Drosophila melanogaster: one gene and its partner. The protein of the gene in region 2 interacts with the protein of the main gene of each other region in a pairwise test. Each region holds a gene or a part of one and is shown on either strand. Other genes may lie near its edges. The genes, in order: CG14718 and Ald1.

Region 1 (4,463 bases), about 15 Mb from region 2:
GCTGAGCTGAGCTGTGCTGCGTGTTTACTCTGCTCCAGCAGGCAGCCAATTCATTAGCTGTTCCTACTTCGCCTTTGCTGCAAATGGAAGGAAAGACAACATGAATGCTGCACACAGTGCGTGTGCACCGAGAGATGCTGATGAAGAGTCATCCCTTTTGGCCACACCATAGAATAACCGAACGCAGCGTAGTCATACATATACCAGCTTATATTCCGGGCCAATTGCTTTGCTGCGCTTTTGTCTTTTCAATTACGGACGAGCTTCAAAGTCAAACTTTTGTGCAATTATACTGGAAGACAATTTGCCCTGTCTCGATTTTTATGAGCGCACAAAAAGTTTTCCACCAACGGAATAGGAACTTTTCCCCGGCAACAGTTTCCATTTCGCTGTTGTTTTCCCTTCAAGACAGTTGATTTTTAATTTCGTGTCGGCGGTTCCCAGCTTCATTACTTCATTTCAACGGGGGAAATATTTGACGGGTTAAAGCAAAACTTTGCCGCTCTGAAGTAAAGCTGCTGCTGTTGAAGATGCTGACCCTCCTCCTTTCTTGGAAATGGACACCACAGCAGCGGGGGCTGCTAATGAAACAGGAGCTTCCGTACAGGACACCGGATCCGAGAACCCGGAATCTGATGATAAGGTCAGCGGACTTGGTCGTAAAGAGGCGGCGGCCATAAAAGCCAATTGCTGGTGAAAATGTTGTTTCCTTTTTTTTTCCCCCGAACCGAGCTGGCGACAAACGTGGCACTTTCGTTTATCAGGGTGGCCGGCCTTGAGTTCGGGTTCGGGATATTAATAAACATGTCTTCAGAGTCCACGCTCCGTTGGCAGGACATTATTCTTGACTGCCCTCCAATTCGGGATCCTTTGTGGGGTTAATGTGGTCGCTCATTAGTGGGGTAATTGGCAGCTAATTGGCTTGATGAGTACCAGTCATCTTGATTCATCGTGATTGGCCCGGCCATGGATGAGTCTTGTCTTCGAAAAATATGAACTTAAGTTTCAGATTCCTATGGGAGTTCTACTCGAAGCTTTTAAATTGATATCAGGTACTTTTCTGCGCCATCTCACGCTGCGAAAATGTAATCAAAGTTTGCTGATTAAAGTGAAAATGTGCAGAAATTATGAATCAATTTTCCGAAGACGACGACAAGCGAAGTGCAAAGTCATCAGTGAGCTGCGAAAGTGGCATCCAGAGTTTTAGCCGCCAATCACGGAAATTTGCATAGTTCTTCGCGCTTTTAACTATGGACTACGGATGGAAAAACCAGGTCAAATCCCTTGAAAGGTGTGGACGTAAAAGTGCCAGCCATTTCGATGTCCATATTGCATTTTTACTTTGGCTATTAATACATTTTCACTCAGTAAATTCCACATTATTGAATTAAATTAATCCTGCCGCTGTCGATTTTATTTTAAATATATTCATTGGCAACAAACGGTTGATATGTTGGTTTTTGTGTGCAGCAATGATATTATTAATACTTCGGATTATATTGTTTTGATGTGGATAAACACATCACCAACATTTTTTCGAGTCAAAAGTAATGAAATTAAATTGGCTTGCCATTTGATTGAATTGGAAAAATATGGCTGCCAAGTAGGCTACAACACAATCTATCAAAGAAACTTAGATCCGGAACTCAGTTCATTTTTATACTCCTAGTGTCTGGATGTTATCAAAGATTTCAGTAGTTTTTAAAGGAATCGGTTCGTGTTTGATCAGCAGTAAAGGCCACACAACGAGGAGTTTTACGTATATTTTTTACCAACCATGGATAGCACGTCAGCCAGCGTAGTGTATACGAATTCTTTTTACGCTCCAAATTACTCGGACACCCAGCAGCCACAGCCACAGCTGCAGACTCAGCAACAGATGTTCCATGCCAACTACATCGTCGGAACCACATTGGGTTCTGGATTGGGATTTAATTTTGCACCAGCCCCCATTCCCCAGGCGAGTGCCGCTTCCGGTTTGAGTCCCAGAGGCATGTACAGTGATCTCTACCGCTACGAGGATGGAAGCGGCGATGCCAGCGGTTCCTTGCTTCTGGTCCAAGAGGATGACCACTTCTGTGGTGCAGAGGCGGACCAGCAGTTGGTGGCCAGCACGTCGTCCTCATGCCCGATGGCGAGTTCAGGCGAGTCCGTGAGCATTGACACAGAGCAGGAGGCGGAACGGGATCTTCAGATGAACCAATGTGAGACGCTGGAGCGGGAAGAGCTGAATGGAGATATAGGGGAAATGGGGGAAATGGAGGAGCTTGCAGAGGAGGTTAATGGCGAGCAGAGGCCGCCGCTGTTACCCTGCATGGGTGGCAACACATCCTACATGGTGTTCCCGCGCACCGCCGCCGACTACATGCCCCGCCTGGCGCTCCCGCGGCATAGGCCCTATATAAGCATCGGTCAGGAGCAGTACGTGATCCAGGCGGAAACTGTCTTCGTGCTGGGCATGCGCCTCAATGTGACCAAGAACGACATCATCCTGTTCTTCGGCAAAGTGGGCGTTATCAAGATGGACGAGTCGACCAACAAGCCGAAGATCTTCGTCTACAAGAACAAGATAACGGGGCGCTCCAAGGGTGAGGCCACTATAACCTATGTGAGTCCATTCTCTGCACAGGCGGCGATTAGTTGTCTGAGTGGGGCCAAGTTCATGGGACAGGTGATCACCGTTCTGCCCGCCTACCTATCCACCCGGAGGGGCAGTGTCCGGTACAGTTATCCGCGAGAGCTTAATGCGCCGGAGCACCAACGTCGCCAGCGGGCAATGAAATGGAAGCCAGCCATCGACAATTGGGTGTGCATGCTCTGCCGGAACAGCAACTTCGTCTGGCGTTCCAGCTGCAACAGATGCCAGGCGGACAAGGTGGTCGCTCCTCAGAATAACGAGGGAAGTTCCTGGGCGGGATCACGCGAAGAGGACGGTGCCCCTCGTCGTTGGCGGCCATACAGGAACGACTGGCTGTGCAAGATTTGCTATAATATGAATTTCTGGTACCGAGCGAAGTGCAATCGTTGCCACGCCCTGCGTTCCGATGAAATGAAGAGCTCCGAGTCGACGGAGGAAGATACCTGGGAGCTGGTTCTGAATCCGCCCATTGCAGAGTAGAAACAGTCCAGTCCACCTCGTTCTGTCTGTGTCTGTGTCTGTATCTATACGTGTTATCTGTTTTGTGTATCCGCATCTTTTTGTACGAAGGACACTTCTGCCTTCTGCATCCTGCTCCTTCCGGACTTCTAAAAATTTCAAGTGATTGGAACGCGAACTGCGTCGTGATATCCAGATGCAACTTCAATTGAATTGAATCGATTCGATGCGATGCCCATGAGCTTGTGAGCCCCATCCAAGAACAGCAAGAGCCAAGAACAAAAGACACCTAAATTCCTGTTAATGCCCGTCTTAGAAAAAGGCGTTTGAATGCAATGCCGCCACCATATACCCGCCGAACCAGTCTTTGTCCCCAGAGCAGAGATCCTCAGATTGCGGGACAATGCAACTTGCTGAATGGTAATCCACTTAATCCGGGTAACTGAATATTTTACCCAGGCACAAAAGGCAACCGGACCCACCTGGCCAGCTCTAAACGTTTAATGAATTTATTTACTTTCCCGACGCGTGCAGTCAGTGGCTCAGTGGCTCATTGGCTCTGCGGAACTGCACTGTAAATCGAAATATTATATTCAATGAAGTCTAAATTGTTTAATAAAATTAATCTTCTATTCATTTATTTATAGAAAGGGTGAACTCGTGGCTTTAAACTATCACAATGAAATTTCAAAATTTCTGAATCCCCCACAGCAAATCCTTGACTCAGATTGTTTTCTGTGTGCAGTGGCATCAAGCCACTTGAATCCATGTCCCACAAGTCGCTCGCCAGCCCCATCCTCCTACTCCTCCTTTCTATCTACCTCGTCCTTTTCTGTCATGTGATTTAATCAAACTTTGCGTCAGCCGAATCTGTGCCACAACAGCTTGGCTGGTTGGTAGATGGTGCGGCTGGTGAGTTGCTCTTTTGGCTGCACCCGCAGTTGCGGCTGCCCTCGTCTGCCGCATGCCACGCCCCCCTGCTCCATTCACCAGTTCACCAGAGGCGGCGCCTGGCAGACTTTGTGTTGTGCATTTACTTTGCACTTTCTTCCACGCGAGCGGACAAGGCACCTGGTGGGAGCTGTGGAGTGTGGAGTCCGGAGTCCGGAGTCCATCGTCCCTAGTCCATAGTCCATAGTCGGTTGTGCTTGGTCTGCCGCCTGCGGGGTATTTGCGTAGCTGCAGGTGTTGCTCCGTCTGCTGCTGCCCAACCAGCCCAGCCCAGCCTGGTAAACCACCAAACCCGCCCACAGTGTCGCCGATTTAAGTGGCAGCCATGGAGTAAATGCAATAAACACCATTAGCTGCAACGACTCCGTTGGTCGTCACTTGTTGGTCGTTGGTCGTCGTCGCTCCGTGCGCGTTT
Region 2 (7,797 bases):
CGCAGCAAAAAAGTTTTTCGGCCAGCATGAAAAAGTTTTCACACTGATTTTTGCTGCGCTCGAAGAACTTCCGCCACTTTTTCCACCTGCGGCAATTTTCTAAAAACTTTCCACGCATCCAAGCGCACGAATACATGCTGCGTACTGCGGAAAGTTTTGGAAAATTTAATCTTGCAAGTTCTTTGGAGGAAAATTATGATTCGATTAAATATATGTAACAGCTCTCCGAACGAATTTTACGTTGTTTTCAACTTAACTGTCAGGTACAGATATTCCGAATTATTATTCTAATTAACAGTAGGAAGTTTGCAAAGGGCTTTCATGAATAAAGTTAGACAAGACATTTTTAATTAAAATGTATTTAAATTAAATTAAAAGGTAAAATAAAATCGAATTTTTGTTTAAAGCTAACTAAAGTAAACAAAATCATAAGCAAGGTATTATTAGAAATATATAATTTATTTCTGTTCGCCAAAAATATTTTCTTTAAGGTCTAGTCAGTTTATTCGGTAAAATGTAAAAATGTATAAAAGGAATATATTTGCAGTTCCATTGTTGGAGGAATATAAATGTTGCCCGTCTCACTCCAGCTGGGCCTCGATCAGTAACTCTTGCGGATTATCTGGATTCGGCTTGGGATATAGCTTCGCTCGATTGTGACTCGGGATTAGTGCGTGGCATTTAGGACTTAGTATTTGTGCTGGGCGACAAAGAGGTTGGCATTGCCGGCAAACGACGGAATTGAGCCGGGCACGTAAATACCCTGACAGGCCTGGGAATTGGCCTGTGGAAGCGGGAGGAGAGCGGGATTTTGGTTGGGATTAATCAGATTTTGGGCTTTTGTGGATTAGGTTTAGAGCAAGCGAAGCATGAGTGGCACGAGGACAGTATGTTAAAGGCGTTTGCGATAAGTCGGATTTGGTGAAAGGCGGCTATGATTCTTAAGTTACCCCATGAAAGCTTGTTCATCGCCATCTTAAGGCAGCAATTCTTCAATCCTTTGATCAATACCTGTGGTCATCCACATGCAAAGTATCTTTTCCAGCGAACCCCTTAACCGATCCAGCTGTATAGTTACCACAAGCCGCCTCTCCGTTAGCCTAGGCATGATTAATGTGTGGTTATTGATGATGAAATTAATGTCTCACGTACAAAAGCAAAAAAAGGTTACAAATAATGGTAGGGAAATGAAAGGGATAAGATTAGAGGATTAGAAGAACATTGTGGTCATTTGGGATTGGAAATGGAATCAATGGCTGGGAATATGCTGTATGTTATATTATACATGTATAATATTTCTTAGCCCAAGGAATACTTCCGAAGCATATACCTGACACTCTTAATACATTCACCACTTAAATTGCTAACTGCAATCAATCGTGCATAGATACAACTATCCAAGGACTCACCTTGGCGCGCTTAAGCAGCTCGTTCTGGCCGGCAGCAATGTTCTCCTTCTTGCCAGCCCAGGCACGCAGGACGGAGGCCTGCAGGGCACGACCGTACGAGAAGGTGAGGGCCCATGGGCGGATCAAGGGAACGTTGTTGATGGCACTCAGGTTGACGGTGGCCTCCTCCTCGGACTGACCTCCAGACAGGAAGGTCACGCCTGTAGACAAACAATCGATTAGATAGGATTCATTGCAAAAACAAGGTGAATGCATTCCAATCCAGAGATTACAGTTGGATTTGATGACTCACCAGTAACGGCGGCGGGAACGGTGCGGCGCAGAGCCTGCACGGTGGCCAGGGCGATCTCCTCGGGGGTGTTCTTCTTGGCCGACTGACCGGCGGTGACCATGTTGGGCTTCAGCAGAGTACCCTCCAGGTAGACGTGGTGGTCGCTCAGGGCCTTGTAGACGGCGGCCAGGACGGTCTCGGTGACCTTCTGGGCGCGGTCCAGATCGTGATCGCCATCGGGCAGAACCTCGGGCTCCACAATTGGGACGATGCGCTGCGACTGGCAGATGGAGGCGTAGCGGGCCAGGACATTGGCGTTCTCCAGGATCGACTGGTAGGATGGGGTGTTCTTGCCGATCTTCAGGACGCAACGCCACTTGGCGAAGTCGCAACCGTCCTTCTTGTACTGGGCGCAACGGGCGGCCAGGTCATCCAGACCCTGGGTGGTGACCTCATCCTCAGAGCCGAACAGTGGGACAACACCCTTGTCGACCTTGATGCCCAGAATGATTCCCTTCTTCTTCAGGATCTCGGCGAAGGGGGTGCCATCATCGGCCTTCTGGTAGAGGGTCTCGTGGAACAGGATCACTCCAGAGATGTTCTCGGCCAGCTTGGGGTCAGTGCTGAACAACAGCTGACGGTAGGCACGGCGGTTGTCCTCGGTGTTCTCCACGCCGATGTCCTGCAGACGCTTGCCCATGGTTGGGCCGGACTCATCGGCGGCGAGGATTCCCTTGCCGGGGGCAACGATTTTCTGGGCGATTTCGCGCAGCTCATCCTGCAGCTCCTTGCTGGGGTAGTTGAAGTAGGTCGTCATTTTTGAGATTCGAGTGTAGTTCTGCAGCACGAAGATCCATTTACGTTTGATTTGGTGTGGTGTTATTTTGTTGGATGAAAAAGAGTAGCGGACATTGTGTTTTAATAAGCTAGCTATCGAATTCCGCAGCGGCGCGGATGATTGGAAACCATTGCGTAAGCACAGAATTTTGAAATATTTCGAGGTAAAAAATAAAACTAAAAATTTGGACTAAAATTTCGTATACGATCCGCACAGTCTGACAACCAAAATCAAGTAACTCAAAGTTACATATGTTCCTACTGAAAAAGATAACAACGGCTACAGAGATAGCTATCAATCAAGTGTTGGATTATTTTACTGAACTGACCTAATTATTATTTCCATAAAATAAAAAGAATATTTGTAAAGGTCAAGTTATTTAAAGTGGAACTCTGAGTTAACCGATTAGAGCCATTGAGTCATATGCTGTTGTTTAATGATGCGGTATTATATAATTTTGTTTTCAGTGTCAGGTCAATGTCACTGGTGTTTTTTCCAATTTAAAAATATTTTTCCATTGAAGATAATAAATGCTTTGCATGGTAGTGTATTTCACAGCTGATTCGATGGCAAAGAGCGGGTGATTGAATGAGATTAAAGGCGCATGCACGGAAAACGTGCTTTTCTCTATATCTGCAGCTCTTCGCTCTCTCTCTCTCACATTTTTTTTTTTCTAGGTTTGTCCTACACTCTCAACATTCACATATAAAATGTTGCCTTTTAATAGAGCTTTTTTAGAGGTTCTCACAAACATCAATGAAAATTCACATTTTAGAAAAATCCTCTTGGATTGTACTATACAAAGTTGGAAAAGTATCACTGCACTTTTTGGAATGAAATATTATATAGTGTCTTATTTTATAGTGTCTGTAATTTGCTAAAAACTATTTGCAAAAACCGAACAATTGTTTTAAGCTTAGATCACAAAGAAAAATCCGAACCAACCTCGACGATGATGTTTTTGTAACTGAGCAAAGTCACGGAAACCTCGGCAATAATTCCCTCTGATGTAATCAAAGTCATGGAATCTTGTGTCTCACTCTAACCGAATGCAGCTGTCTTCTTCACACCCGCATAATGCGTGACGTGGTAACTTTCACTTTTATTGCCGCTGCTGCTGCGCTGTTCCTGCAGGCAGCGACGCCAACGCAGGGCGCATGAATTTTCGCTTGACATTGAACAAGGTCAAGCAACAAGCCTTAGCAACAAATGTTGCCAGCGAAATTTGTTGCTTACGAAATGCGAATAGAAATTGTTGAAAACCGAAAGTCGTGTGGCGCGTGTGAAGTGCGATAGAGATAGCTAGTGTCCAGCAATATGTAGATACAGATACGAAGTCATCTGCGATGACTAAAAACCCATTTTATACTTGTTTGACATTGACAGTGAGCCAAGGACTGGGAATGGCATAAATGTCAGGTTAAGAGATTAGACCTCCGCAACTTATCGCGAAATATTGTTTACCACATCGACCCCACATTTCCCACGCCATATATTTAACACTTTGTACACGCGTGAATAGCTTGTGGTTCCTAAGAACAGATAGATATTATAAAAGCTTGATATATGCATATATTAAAAATACTGCACAGTTTAAGAATATATTAATATATCTCTAGAATACAAATCATTTTTTCATCTATTAATTTCTAAACAGTTATCTAAACACACTTCACAGAACGACACTAGATATGTATGTACACCCTTATCTATAGAATTATCTATAGATGTTGCGGATTCACTCAGCAGACAACACCCACCTACACTTGCCGGCAATCAATCGAAGACTGAAATGTTTCGAAAACTAGGCGAAATATATACGATGACAAAAAAGAAAGAGGAACGAAGAGCAGCCAACGCATGACAACAAAAAACAATCAAAATAAATTTACGTTCCTATCAAGAGACCGTTTATAAAAATAAACCGCCACATGTCCGTCTATATGTATTCGTGAGCTTGCTATCAGTGAAAATTTTGAATCGAAAACGACGAAAAAACGAGCCCCCAGTTGCGTTTTAGTTCCAAAGGTTTTGCATTATCATAACGAGATTTTAGGTCCGGCCTCCTTGAACGCAGACAGTGGGTCAAAAGAACATCCAACAGTTGAGATAATACTACTACTACTACTACGAACTGACGTCAACTGATTAGCCGTAAACATGGGTGGTAATAATTGTATACTTGTCTGAAAATAGGAAACTTCGAGCACTCCCATACTTCTATCTATGCCCTTATTATGTGACCCCAAAAACTTTGTTGTGGTAACTGTTTACTAGATAAGCCAATGTACCTTATCTAGTCTTATTTCATCGATTAGCTTATACTTTACAATGAGAATGTATACCTATAATTCCATTATATTCATTATAAAATTTCCCAAAGCTTGATATAAACGATCAAAGGAACATAAATTGGTTGTTTTAAATGTTCAAAACTCTTCTTAAAAATCCTAATCAGGTTGATCTTGAAAGGAAGTCCTTTGGAGTACCAAAACTTGTTTTCTGTAGGTTTCAAAACAACCCTTAAACTTCTGCCCCTCTTTTCTCATGTACTCTCTACAAACTATCGGTAAAATGTTTGCTCTCCTTCATTCACTGAAATCTCAATTAAATGGTAGGTATAAAATGCAATAGACAAAAGCATATTGCGTCTATCATGAGAAGACGTCAACAATCTGATGAATTTACGATGACGTTGGCTAATTGAAGTCTAAGCGAGAGAGCGATGGGAAAGTATACATATGTATATCGCGATGTATAGTACATACATTTAACATTTGCGCCAACTATTTATAAAGAAAAACCGCAGCGGCGACTACAAATTGCAGTTGAAAGCCTGCCAACAAGCAAATGAACTCGAATGAAAGAGCGGATGAAAAGTAAGAGAGCCGGTTGAGCCGGTAGAGAAAACTACTACTCACGAAAGTGAGCCAAAAGTCACCCGATAAGGCTTCTTATCGCCTGCAGTTCGCGTAGCCCCCCCACTCCTTCAACCGCGGTGCATAGGTCAACAACACTCGAGAGCCTCGAGGTTCTAGAACTTGTCATAAAAGTGGCGAGCACGCGGAAATGGTAAGATTAGAGAATAATTAAACTATATTCGAATACGCACTCACTAACACTAACACGCCTACAGATTCGCTGCTGCTCTGTAGATTTGGATTACGAAACACCCAGAGAAATGGGAACGATTACGCGACTTTTCAACTGCACTGCCGCCAATGGGGGGAAAAATATCTGAATTTTTTTTAAGGGGCTCAGGGGTTCTGTTCACTGCGTATGACGCCCACTCACCGAACTGGAAACTGAATCTGGGATGTGGTGATTAGCTGCTGGCTACTGGCTGGGTCCGCTGCTGCTGCTGCACTGGAGGAGAGCGGTTAACGCTTTTATTTTCGGCCCGTGTCGCTGCTACTGCCGCTGCCGATGCCTCTGCTACCGCTGACTGCGGCGTCAACGTGAAATTCCAAAGCGAAATAAGCGAGACATGCCGAGCGAGACCCCAAAAGGTTGTTTGGAGGTCGTCGCCGACGGTGTTGGGCAACCGACTGAGCCAAGCGCTTTAAATTCCCAGATCCCCAAACGAAAGGTATCCAAAATAAAGCTCATTCTGGGAGCTTTTAGTGGGGGATGGAACCTAACAGATAAGCTGTAAAACTTATTAGACAGCTTTGAGAAGCTTTAGCTTTCGTTTGGGCGGTAAAAATTTAAATGAAATGTGCTCAAAGCGTATTAACATAATAAATAATTTATCTTAAGATCTCAAACACTATACGATATATATTGAAATAGTATTGAAATGTTAAAAACAATAAAGTGCCACAAACTTAATGTCGCGTCTTGCTGGATATAGTCATCCCAAATCATCCTCATCAAGTGAACTATATGTCTTGCCAAGCTTTCTTGCCCAAAACTATAAAAAAGCATTAAAAATGAAGTGTTATCTTTGCAAGTATTTGTATCTTTTAACCTGTCAACAACATTTCCTATTCTACTTATGCATTGAAAAGAGGGTAGAATAATTAATTTGGTGTATTTTAACCTTAATTACGAGCGACCTGCTTTACTTGGGGCGGTCAATGAATTTTTCGTGACCATCAGCATCAGGCGCTCCAGCGGCAGCGCAACAAAAACGAGGGGTGCCAGAAGCAGCAGCTAGGATAAGCGACTTTCACGCCATGCCTGACCTCCTGCAATGTTAAAGGACTCAACCCCCTGGCACTGGAAACAGCTGATTGAGAGCGCAAACTTTGAGAAAATATCCCCCTATTCTGCCATACAATCTGTTCGAGCGAAAGAGAAAATCGTTTCGCTCTTTAAAATGTCCTAATATGACTTTGGCACAGTTTTCTGAATGAAAAGAATGACTGTGGAACGGGTTATAACATTTAAAGGATTTTAGATATTTCATAGACTATCTATGCTTAGGTTTCTTTAGTTAAAGTGATACAGTTGCTAGATATATATGAAATAATATGCTTACCTAATGAAGGAACCTTAGCCACAGTGCTCTTCATTGTCCTCGCTCTCTTTGTGCCTCGTGGCTTCGTCCTTCGTCCTGTTTCGGTTCTCGTGCCTGCCTCACTCGCTTCCCATTTTCGTTTGGGGATTCTGGTTCAGTTTTCAGTTCGAATTCGTGCGTCGGTCGGTCGAGTTGTGTGCCAAACGCTCGGCACCTGTCGCCCAACACGTGTTGCGTTCCACTTGCGCTGCGCGTCTCCTTCGCACACCCGCGTACACCGCGGCGTATACGCTACGTACTGTGGTGCAGCCAAAGCGAAATAATTTCTGATTATTCTAGTTATGTGAACCGAAAGTGGAGTGCATAAGAGTCTGAAATTCAAGCACCAGCTGTGTTTTAACTCATATTAAATTAAAGAGGAGATACGAAAAAGAGGAGTGAATTTGTGGTTCAGAAGAATGATAAATTGTTTTCCCAGTTTTGGTAAGAAACGATTTGGTTCGATTTGGTATACTCATTAAAAGTTGATGTAGATCAGATTATAAAGTATCTTTCAAAAAACTACAGAAAAATGTTCATTTCTAAAACTAATATTGATGGAACCCTTTTTTTTGCTTTACAATAAATGGCAAGATTAAAGATTAGGGCAAAATAGCTAGAAAAGTTTTTGATCAACTATAGTTAGGTTATACTATATTTCTATTTATCTAGTCTTTTTGTTAAAGGACATTTGAAATAGTTTTTTCTTAAATTCCATTTTTCTTCTTATAAGAGTTCACGAAAACCAAAAGAATGTGTGCAACAAAGAATGCAAAAT

Evidence for each region.
Region 1: the proteins of Ald1 (region 2) and CG14718 interact in a two-hybrid assay, tested with the Drosophila melanogaster proteins (one large-scale study listed by BioGRID).

Annotation. Positions count from the first base shown.
Region 1 is NT_033777.3:11,698,969-11,703,431, forward strand, and holds CG14718 (uncharacterized protein), read left to right. Parts: upstream 1-1,645; 5' UTR 1,646-1,777; coding exon 1,778-3,118; 3' UTR 3,119-3,752; downstream 3,753-4,463.
Region 2 is NT_033777.3:26,255,524-26,263,320, forward strand, and holds Ald1 (aldolase 1), read right to left. Parts: upstream 6,069-7,797; 5' UTR 5,813-6,068; exon of another isoform or gene 5,631-5,812; intron 5,591-5,630; exon of another isoform or gene 5,379-5,590; intron 4,313-5,378; exon of another isoform or gene 4,279-4,312; intron 3,691-4,278; exon of another isoform or gene 3,464-3,690; intron 2,757-3,463; exon of another isoform or gene 2,519-2,756; 5' UTR 2,498-2,518; coding exon 1,702-2,497; intron 1,610-1,701; coding exon 1,410-1,609; intron 1,101-1,409; coding exon of another isoform or gene 1,005-1,100; exon of another isoform or gene 951-1,004; intron 785-950; coding exon 689-784; 3' UTR 443-688; downstream 1-442. UniProt on the Drosophila melanogaster protein: Enzyme of the glycolytic pathway. Glycolysis is essential in glial cells but not in neurons; neurons rely on the citric acid cycle for their energy needs, and on lactate and alanine secreted into the hemolymph by glial cells to fuel it.